2 linked regions of the Oryctolagus cuniculus genome follow. The protein of the gene in region 1 purifies or fractionates together with the protein of each later gene. This does not show direct contact. Links are inferred from orthologs where the notes say so. Each region holds a gene or a part of one and is shown on either strand. Other genes may lie near its edges.

Region 1 (5,029 bases):
ATGAAAGGATCAAAAATCAAAGTACAGTTTCTACTGCACACATATAACTTTAGTACCATCATAAAGTCAAAGGGGCATAATCTAGGAACAGTCTTCTGTATATCACAGGACAATAATGTAAGTGAATTTTGAATGCCTCGGTAGAGACATTATACCACTTGACAAACTTGTTGCCAAAATGAAGAAAACATATGACTATCCTAATAAATGCAGATATATGAACTGCCTAGAGGGAGAGAGAACTCCCATCTGCTGGTTCACTCCCCAAATGCCTGTAATGTCTGGGGGCTGAGCCAGGCTTAAACCAGCAACCAGGAATTCAATCCAGGTATCTCACAGGGGTAGCAGGACCCCAATTACTTGAGCTCTCACTGCTGCCTCCTAGGGTCTACTGGGGGAAACTGGAGTCCGGAGCCAGGGCTGGGAATTGAATCCAGGTATTCCACAATATGGACCTCTTCACTGCGAGGTTAAGCGCTGGTCCTAAGAGGTTTTTTGAATTCCTCATGAAGGTTCTCTCCTTGGTCCACTTCTCAGTATGTTCAACTTAACAAAGATCAGTATTTTTCACTAGGTGAGTGTGTTTGGGCAAGCTGTTTTAGTGCCCATTTTCTTGGTCTGTTGGAAAACATAAGATAACAAATAACAGTACACTTGGAAAGTCATTGGGAAAATTAAAAGAGTTAATGCATGTGAAGTGCTATGAAAAGAGCCTGCAGCAGCAAGTGTTTACTTGTTAGTTACGGCTATTTTTACCAACATACTTCCCAAGGCTAACTTGTAGTTCCACTTATTTCCTGAGGGTTCTGACTTCCAAGTCTGTCACAGATCTTTGTCTTATCCTTTCATCTACATACGAGGCCAACTCCATCTCTATGTATTTCACCTCAAGGGAAAGAAACCAGCTACCTAAAATAGGATATTCCATCCCAAGCTAGATGCTCTTTACATATTATTTGTTAAAGTACAGCAGTCACACTGGTAACCCAAGAATCATCTTTTCTTACCACAAAGATTGAAATAAAGAAAAAGATCTGTTTTTCCTTCTTCTTCATAAAGGTAATGCTTGTTCAATATAGAAAACACGGAAAATCCAAAACGGATAAAGATTACTCAGGGTCGGTGCTGTGGAGTAGCCGGTAAAGCCGCTGCCTGCAGTGCCGGCATCCCATATGGACACTGGTTCATGTTCTGGCAGCTCCACTTCCGATCCAGCTCTCTGCTGTGGCCTGGGAGAGCAGTGGAAGATGGCCCAAGTCCTTGGGCCCTGCACCCCATGGGAGACCAGGAGAAGCACCTGGCTCCTGGCTTCGGATCAGTGCTGTGCGCCGGCCACGGCGGCCATTGGAGGGTGAACCAACGGCAAAAGAAGACCTTTCTCTCTGTCTCTCTCACTGTCCACTCTGCCTGTCAAAAAAAAAAAAAAAAAAAAAAAAAAAAGGAAAGAAAGAAAAAAGGATTAGTACTATCAAGAATTCGATGTGTCCTGTCCTTCGGCCACTGAAATGTAAGTTGCAATCCGCCAAAAAATAGTATTTGTGGCCTATCTTTTTAAACGCATACGTTTTAAAATAAGTGCTTCGTATTCACATGTGTCCCACACGATGTACTTTAGCCAATCACCTCCAGGATTGCGCCAATTTACAGGCTCAACCAAAATGGCCCGACATCTTTTTCCTTCCACAACATCACGTGATTTTAACTAAGGCCAAACACGGAACGCTCTTAGGAACCCACGAGGTAAAACGTTATCTCGCGGCGGTGAACACCGGGCTCTCCGCCGCAAGCAGGAGAATCGGCCTCAGATTCGGCCACCCCGGCTGCGCCCGCTCGGGTAGAGCCCTCGGCCGGCAGTTCTAGGCGGGAGCGCCGCACTCGATGGCGTGGCGCACAGCGATGACGCAGCACGCACGCACGCCGCCCCGCCCCCTCCGCCGGCGACTGCGCTGCGTCACGGGTTTTCAAGCGCTTCGCTGCTGGACCCTGCGACCGCAGCGGGGCCTAACGCCTGCCGGCCGCTCGCCGGGAGTCCGGTCGGCGGCGCGATGAGGCGCAGCAAGGCCGACGTGGAGCGGTATATCGCTTCGGTGCAGGGCTCCGCCCCGTCGCCGCGAGAGGTGAGTCGTGTCCGGAGAGGCCGGGCCCTGGCCCAGCGGCGGCGCCGGCGCCATGGCTCCCGGCGCCAACCGCTCCCTGGCGCGTGCGGCGGAGGTCCGGGGCGGCTCGCCCTGCCCTGTGGGCGGCGCGGCGCTCGGGAGCGCTCGGGGAGGGGCGTGGGGGCGCGGGGGACGTCGGCGTTGCCTGCTTCCTGGGGCGGGGCGGGGGGCCTTCGTCCTCGTCAGGCCTGTTCCGTGCGGCCCGCGCTGCCCGGGCCCCCGGCTGGCGCCTCGGGCGGGCTCTGCCGTCCCGCTGCGGCCGCCTCTGGGCAGGGCGGCTGTTGGAACGCGGCGGGCTGTCCCCGCTGTGACGCTGCCGCGGCCGGGCAGGCGCCCTGGACTGCGGCCCGAGCGCGGGTGACCACGCGCAGTCCTCTCAGCCCCGCACGCCGAGCAAGCTGCTGTTTTATTTGCGGCCGCTTCCCCTTTACAGACGGGGTGCTCTGAGCTCAGAGTTTGCAAGTCTTTTTCCCGACAGCCAGTTCTGAGCACGTTTCTCCCTCCTGGATTACTTGGAGGCGGCGGCGGGGAGTGGGGCAGGTTACCACCGGTGGGCGCGCGCCGGCTCGTTGGTCTGCCTGCAGTTGAGTAGTTGCGACCCTGCCCTGGCAGACGCAGGTGGAGAGCGCGTTGAGTATCCCATCTGTAAAGCGGGCTTGATGAGGTGCGTGGTCGGTGCCCAACACCTCCAACGACGCCTGGCACGCCGTCAGCCCTACATGGGCGTCAGCTGCATCTCCTGGCGCTGGTGGTGTTGATGTTGGAAGTGAAGGTCTAGACGGCTGCTTCTGCATGGACGTGCGGGAAACGAGAAGTCTGTGTTGGGTGCAGAAAAGTTGTAAAGTTTTTGTATGGTTTTTTCCATAACACGCATTTCCCACGAACTTTGAGTTCTCATATTAGTGGTTGATCATGATTACAGTGCAACATAACGTGCCTTGTATCGTAGCCTAGTTATCTTACTTTATGCTCCAATAACTAAATACTGAGTCCTGCAGACGGGGAAGGTACTTGTCCAGGGCCAAGTGGATGGCTCAGCAGGGTGTTGGCAGTGGGTCTGATTGGCTTTTTTAGGAATAGTGTAACGGCCTATAGTCTGTCTCTCTGGAGAAGACACATAGGTTCCTACGTGCAGATGCCATTTCAAATCGCTGGCATAGTTTTTGTTTAAAGATTTATTCATTTATTTGAAAGGCAGAGTTGGTGGGGGCTGGGGACTCGAAGAGAGAGAGCTTCAATCCGCTGCTTCGTTCCCCAAATGGCTGTAAGGGGCAGAGCTGGGCTGTTCTGAGCCAGCAGCCGGGGCTTCTTCCGGGTCTCCTGTGTGGGTTCAGGGTCCCAAGCACTTGGGCCGTCCTCCGCTGCTTTCCCAGGCCCATTAGCAGGGAGCTGGATTGGAAGTGGAGCAGGTGGGACTATACCAGCTGCTGCCCATATGGGATGCTGGCACTGCAGACAGTGGCTTTACCTGCTGTATCACAGACCTGCCCCTGCATAGTCTTAAGTATGAATGTGTTAATAGTGTTAGAACCTTGTTGAAGGTTTCTGTAACTCCTAAGACTGGTATACTTTTTTTTTTGTTCTTATTTTTTGAAGCAAGTTTAGCATCTCCATAAGATTTTTTTTTTAAGATTTATTTATTTATTTGAAAGAGTTACAGAAGGAGAGGCAGAGAGAGGTTCTCCCTCCGCTGGTTCACTCACCAATTGGCCACAATGGCTGGAGCTGTGCCGATCTGAACCAGAAGCCAGGAGCTTCTTCAGGGTCTCCCATGTGGGTGCAGGGGCCCAAGGACTTGGGCCATCTTCCATTGCTTACCCAGGCCACAGCCGAGAGCTGGATCAGAAGTGGAGCAGCCAGGACTCGAACCGGTGCCCATATGAGATGCCGGCACTGCAGGCAGCGGCTTTGGCCCCCCTCCATGAGATTCTTAGTGGGGACCTTGGCTCTCAAATGTTAAGAAGCTGCCGCCTGTAGTTGCAGCCAATTGGGAAGTGAACCAGCAGATGGAAGACCTCTCTCTCTGCTTCTCTTTCTCTCTGTGTAACTCTTTCAAAGAAATTAAAAAACAAAAAACAAACAAACAAAAAAAACACGGTTTGAGACAGAAGGTAGAGTATTTCTACTATATAATTTCTGTCAGATAAAGAGGATTAGTTATGGCCACCTCTCAAACTTGAAGAATATTGTTTTAATTGGGTATTTTTCTTAAAGTGGATGCCTGAGAACTTCAGCAAAATATGAAGTAGCTAGTATGTAACTTTACAATGTGTGAAGATATTTTCTGTATTTTTTTAAAGACATTTTCGGAAGGGGGCAGCCAGGACATGAGCTGGCACCCATATGGGATGCTGGCACTGCAGGCAGAGGGTTAGCCTCCTGTGCCGCAGTGTCAGCCCATGAAGGTATTTTCTAAAGTTAGATCTGAATGCAATGTCAAAATAGGGTGAGTTGGATAATTTGGAAGGGGCTTGCTGGTGGAGGGGGCAGCAGCAGCTGTGAAGAGTGGGGAGAGAGGCACTGGCATTGTGGTGCAGCAGGTTGCATTTCCTGCGATTTCAGCATCCAGTATCCCGGTGCTGGTTCAAGTTCGGCCGCTCTGCTTCCCATGCAGCTCCCTGCTAATGCACCTGGAAAGCAGCGGAAGCTGGCCCAAGTGCCTGGCCCCTGCATCCGCTTGGGAGACCTGGATGCAGTTGTGGGCTCCTGTCTTGGCCTGCCCAGGCTGGGCTGTTGTGGCCATCTGGGCAGTGAACCAGTGGATGGAAGATCTCTGTCTCACTCTCCCTGTAACTCTGCCTTTCAAATAAATAAATAAATAAATGTTTAGCATTTTTTGAAAATAAAAGAATGGAGAGAGGTTAGTGCTTAAT
Region 2 (4,872 bases), on another chromosome or scaffold:
CTCTTGCCTGGTGGCACTGGCTTCCCCTGGGTCTGCAGGCTCTCAACACTGAGTTCAATCCTCCCTCAGGCCCCACCTGCTAAGTCTCAAGCATGCTTGGCATCCCTGAAGACAGGCTGCTCCATTGCAGCTGTGCCAACCACCTGCCCAGTGGAAGGTGGCCAAGGCCACGCCTCCTCGTGCCACCAGTACTAGATGGTGTAGCTATTGCTTGTCTAGAGCTGGCAGACTGTGCCAGATCCCACAACTGGTGAGACACACAGGTGCCCGGTCCCCAGGCCCTGCAGGAGGAAAAAGAACCATGACTCAAGGTGGGAGTTTCAGACATTTTTAAAAGTGGAAGGACTCTTAAAGGCTCCCTCATGACCCCAACCCCCACTCCGTTGGTGGGAAGGGAAGTGGAGCAGTTAGTGACAAGCGTGAACACAGGGCCATTATCTTTCGATTCCAGTGGCTGCCTCTCTGACTATAGGGCCCTGCAAACAAGCTCAGTTCCGCACTTTGGGGATTTTTTTTAGGGCCCTTACCAGGCTTCTTCACATGTAAGCAGACCTCTGCCCCTACCTGCCCCCTAAAAAGCCCTAGGCCCACCCCAACACCCCTGTCTCCTTGAAGTAAGACATGCCATAGTCACTTAGGACCAGGAAAACCACGCAGCTCAGCTAAGTCCACCTAGTTTGCTTCCCCATCATGCCAAGGAGAGGACTCAGTAGGACCTGGGACAGAAGTAGCCCTCAGTGAGGTTCAAAAGATCAACAACAAAACGAACCAGTGGGCATCCTCCCATATCCCATATGGGCACCAGTTTGGGTCCCGGCTGCTCCAGCTCCCATTCAGCTTCCTACTACTCCTGGGAAGGCAGTGGAGGACGGCCCAAGTGCTTGGGCCCCTGTACCCAAGTGCAAGATCTGGAAGCTCCTGGCTCCTGGCTTCAACCTGGCCCAGCCCTGGCCCTTGCAGTCATTTGGGGAGTGAACCAGAGAATGGAAGATCTCTCTCTCTCTGTCCCTCTTTATAACTCTGCCTTTCAAATAAACAAAATAAATCTTAAAAAAATTAATATTAAAAAATCTTGACGTGTGAAATAAGAGATGATATTTTCAATGACGATACAAAGCTGAACAGGTTAACAAGAGCCTGTACTGGCAGAGGTGAGGACCAGGCACACTGTCCAGGGAGAGGGACTGGGAGCAGCTACTGGATCTGAGGCATGTTCAGCCCTGTTCATCTGAGCAGAAATCTTATCCCACTTCACAAAGCGGAGGGAGCAACTTGTCCAAAGCTAGGCTGCCAGTACACGGAGGAACCAGGAGGTGACTAAACCAGGTGAGCAGATGCCCAAAGAGCTCCTACAGCTGCAGCTGCACCCTCTTCCCTGTGCTAGGACCTCAGCCTCCAGACACATGCTGGGTAACTGAGCCAAGATTCCTCGTGCTGCCAAAATGTTTATGTCCCACCAGCAAGGAGCTGGCAACTGAAAGGCCCCACAGTGGAGCCAAGTTAGGTCAGTGACAGTCCCTTATTACAGCGGACACTGCCGGAGAAACACTGAACACAGAAAGGGATTGTGGGGGCTGCCCAGCGCTGGGAGGGCTAGGGGAAGAGCACTGCCTGCCTGGAGGAGGGGGGATCGCAGCTGGCAGAGTGCGTGAGCCTCACCACAGGGCACTGCCACCCCTTATCACAGCCCCTCCCTGGAAGGGGGCCACATGTCCACCCAGTACCAGTGGGGCCTGGCTGCGAGAGGACACCAGTGCCTGCTGACAGACAGCATCAATGTCCACAGCCCCACCCACGGGCGATGAGGCCTTCACTGATGCCGGGTTCCCTGCTCTGCCCAGCGTGAAGCTAAACACCCTCGTGGATTAACTCACTCTCTCCTCTCTCCCATCATGAACAGGGGATTCTACAGGTCTCCTGAGGGAGGCAACAGAGGCTCCAAAGGGTCCCGGTCCCTATGGAGTGGGGCTGGCGGCGCTGCACCAAGAGCCAAGAGCTTACTGGGACAGAGTCCAGGTAGGAAAGGGAGGCACCTGTCAGAAAGGGACTGGCCACACCAGGCCTTTCCAAATATACCGCTCTTTTATAAGGGGGCAAAGCTGTACCCCCATTTTGCCCAGGAGGAGGCTAAGATTCATGGAGGGTTCCTGCCCACAGCCATCACCAGCATGGGACAGCGCCCGGGTTCAAACCCACCCAGGAAGTAACTTCTCCCTCCAACCTCCAGAGCAGTGCTGGAGAGTCGGGGTGGGGTGGGGGGGTGGGGGGTGCGGCAGAGACAGAAACGAAACATTCTCAGGCTGCAGCAGGATTGCCCGGGACCCTCGCTGCCACGGCACCGCCTCTCGGGCTCTCAGGCAGCGCGAGGGAGGGGAGCTAGCTCCCCCCCTCTGCCCACAGAGAGACGACACAGACACTGAAGTGTCCCTCCAGAAGGGACACAGACGGCACCGCAGGAAAGGCCCAGGAGAAGAGGACGGAAGCGGGCAAGGGAAGTCACGCATTCCAGCCAGCGCGGCGCAACAACAGCGGAGAGGGCCTGAAGACCCCGAACACGCAGCCCGAACCCCGACTCCCAGGACTCACGGGATGCAGCGGCTTCGCCCGGAGAGGGGAAGCGATGCGCCTGATGGTGACAGCAGGGGACACCCAGGCCAGCCACTTCCTAGTGGGTCACCTGCGTCCCTGACCGCAGCATCTGGCCTACCCCCACCCCCCGGACTCGGGCCAGTGACCCAAGCCCAACCCTGCCAGGGAGCCCGGATCCCGAGGCCGCGGCCCGGCCCACTCCCACGCCCCGCCCGAGCCCCGACCCCAGCACCGCAGGCCTGCCCTCCGCACCCCGTGCCGGGCAGGGTGACCTCAGCCGGCCCAGAGCCGGGGAGGACGCCTGCAGGCCCTGGCAGGGGTGAAGGTCCGAGACGGGGTCGCAGGCAGGGTCGCAGACTCAGGCCCGCGCGGCAGGGGTCGCCTGCTCAGACTCGGGTGGGGTGGATGTCGGGGGGGCGGCGACTCACTTCTTTGAGCTGCTCCATCTCGCTGCGGATAGCCTCGTAGTCCACCTCCAGCTCCTCAAACTGCAGCTTTAGCTGGTGCTTCTCCTCCAGTACCGCCAGCCCATACTCGGCCGCCTGGATCTTCTCGCGCGTGGTCTCGGCCAGCTCGTGAGACAGCCGCTTCAGCTCCGCGCGCAGCCACTCGGGCTGCGCCTCCATCACCAGCCGCGCGTACTCCTCCTCCTCCGACGGCGCCGACATGGTGGCCGCGAGCCGGGCCGGCTCCCCCGAGGCCGCCGCAGGCCGGGCCCTCCTCAGCCACCACCGCCGCCGCCGCCGCCGCCGCCGCCGCCGCCGCCGCCGCAGCCGCCCAGCCCCGACGGCCGCCCGCGCCGCCACCGCCCCTCCCCGCGCGGGGAACGCCGGGGACTGCAGTCCGCATCGCCTACATGTCCCGTCGTGCCCAGCGCGCGCCCGACCCCGTTCGTGATTGGTCCGTGCCCCGAGGGGGCGGTCCCTCAGCGCCATTGCCTCCGCCCTGGAGATTGTGAGGACTGCGGTCCCGTCTCGCACCGCCTACCCGGCCCGTCGTGCCTTACGCGCTTTCAGCCCCGGCCGTGATTGGCCCGTGACGCCGCCATCACAGCCGGGTGACAGGGCTGCTTCCGGTGCCCCGGACGGCGCGCACCGAGTCCGGCATCCCAAGATGGGAAAGTGGTGGCGATGTGCTATGGGGGTGCGGGAAGATCGAGAGGTCTCAGGACTTGAACCCAGGCTCTGCTTCGTCTTGCGACTCCTTAGCCCTTCAGGATGTGTTCATGGGAATAAAGATGGGTCCATAAGCGCGGTGTCGTTAATGTGCTAGAGTTGCTGCACCTGCGTCCATTTTAGGCTTGACTTCCTTCAAACTGGGGTGTCCATCGCCTTTGAACTAAATAACCGCCCTTCACTCCGATGTGGTTTGTGTGACATAACCTGCTTGTTCCTCATCCCACAGCTGCTAACCACCACAGAACGAAATGATAGGGACAGAGTCATGACAACAAAGACATCCATCGCTCCTGTTTTCTTTAGACACAAGCCCCGAGGCAAAGCCCGAGATGAAGGCATAATCCCACAGCTCCCGCCTCCCCTGCCTCCCCCATAGACCAGTTGGCCTCCCTTTGGCACCTCTCACCTCCGGCATCTGTGAGGAATGATTTCTGTGTTTCGTATGTTTGGATGTCTCACCTGGCGCACACACAAGCACTTAATTACATTCCCCATGCACCACCACCCTTCTAGTCAGGACATCCCTAGAGAGTGGTTATTTTGGCTTACAGGCTCTGAGAGAGTCCTCAAGACCAGATTAGAAAGGAGAAACCATAACAATACAGAGGTCAAGGGCACACAGGGCACTGGCGCTGTTATTCAGTGCCCGGTCCACATCGGCATTGCACCGGAATCCCAGCACTGTATTGTGTATGTGGCTGGGTTCCAGTTGAATTCAGTCAACAGGTCTCGAGTGTTTTCAGACTAGTGGTGTGCACACAGTTGTACATTTCTGACAGGGACCAGCACTGAAGTGTTGCTGAGTTCCCAGCACAGGGGCAGGCACATGATGTCAATGTCATGCCCTTGGTCATCCCCGGCTTTTCCACTGAAATCCACATGATGGGAGAAAGACATTTTGAGACCCTGCAAATATCCTGTTGAAACCGGAGGCTGACCCCCCTAAAAGTCCCTTCGTGGTCGCCATATGATATCCAAATATGGGGTGCCATATGATATCACCGTGTGCTAATTAATAAATTCCCAATATTAATAAGCCTGTGTGGGTTCTTGCATAATATTCAGAAAAGAATTCTGAATACCGGCATAAATGAACGAGGCAGCA

What was found.
Region 2: the proteins of E3 SUMO-protein ligase RanBP2 (region 1) and BICD2 purify together in Homo sapiens (affinity purification with western blotting; 3 studies listed by BioGRID and IntAct, with this or other methods). This does not show direct contact. The link is inferred for Oryctolagus cuniculus from reciprocal best matches to the Homo sapiens genes RANBP2 and BICD2.

The regions. Positions count from the first base shown.
Region 1 is NC_091433.1:100,112,580-100,117,608, reverse strand, and holds the start of E3 SUMO-protein ligase RanBP2, read left to right. Parts: upstream 1-1,907; 5' UTR 1,908-2,045; coding exon 2,046-2,117; intron 2,118-2,709; exon of another isoform or gene 2,710-2,820; intron 2,821-5,029. UniProt on the Homo sapiens protein: E3 SUMO-protein ligase which facilitates SUMO1 and SUMO2 conjugation by UBE2I. Involved in transport factor (Ran-GTP, karyopherin)-mediated protein import via the F-G repeat-containing domain which acts as a docking site for substrates.
Region 2 is NC_091432.1:146,065,784-146,070,655, reverse strand, and holds the start of BICD2 (protein bicaudal D homolog 2), read right to left. Parts: upstream 3,425-4,872; 5' UTR 3,363-3,424; intron 3,355-3,362; exon of another isoform or gene 3,299-3,354; 5' UTR 3,258-3,298; coding exon 3,018-3,257; intron 1-3,017. UniProt on the Homo sapiens protein: Acts as an adapter protein linking the dynein motor complex to various cargos and converts dynein from a non-processive to a highly processive motor in the presence of dynactin.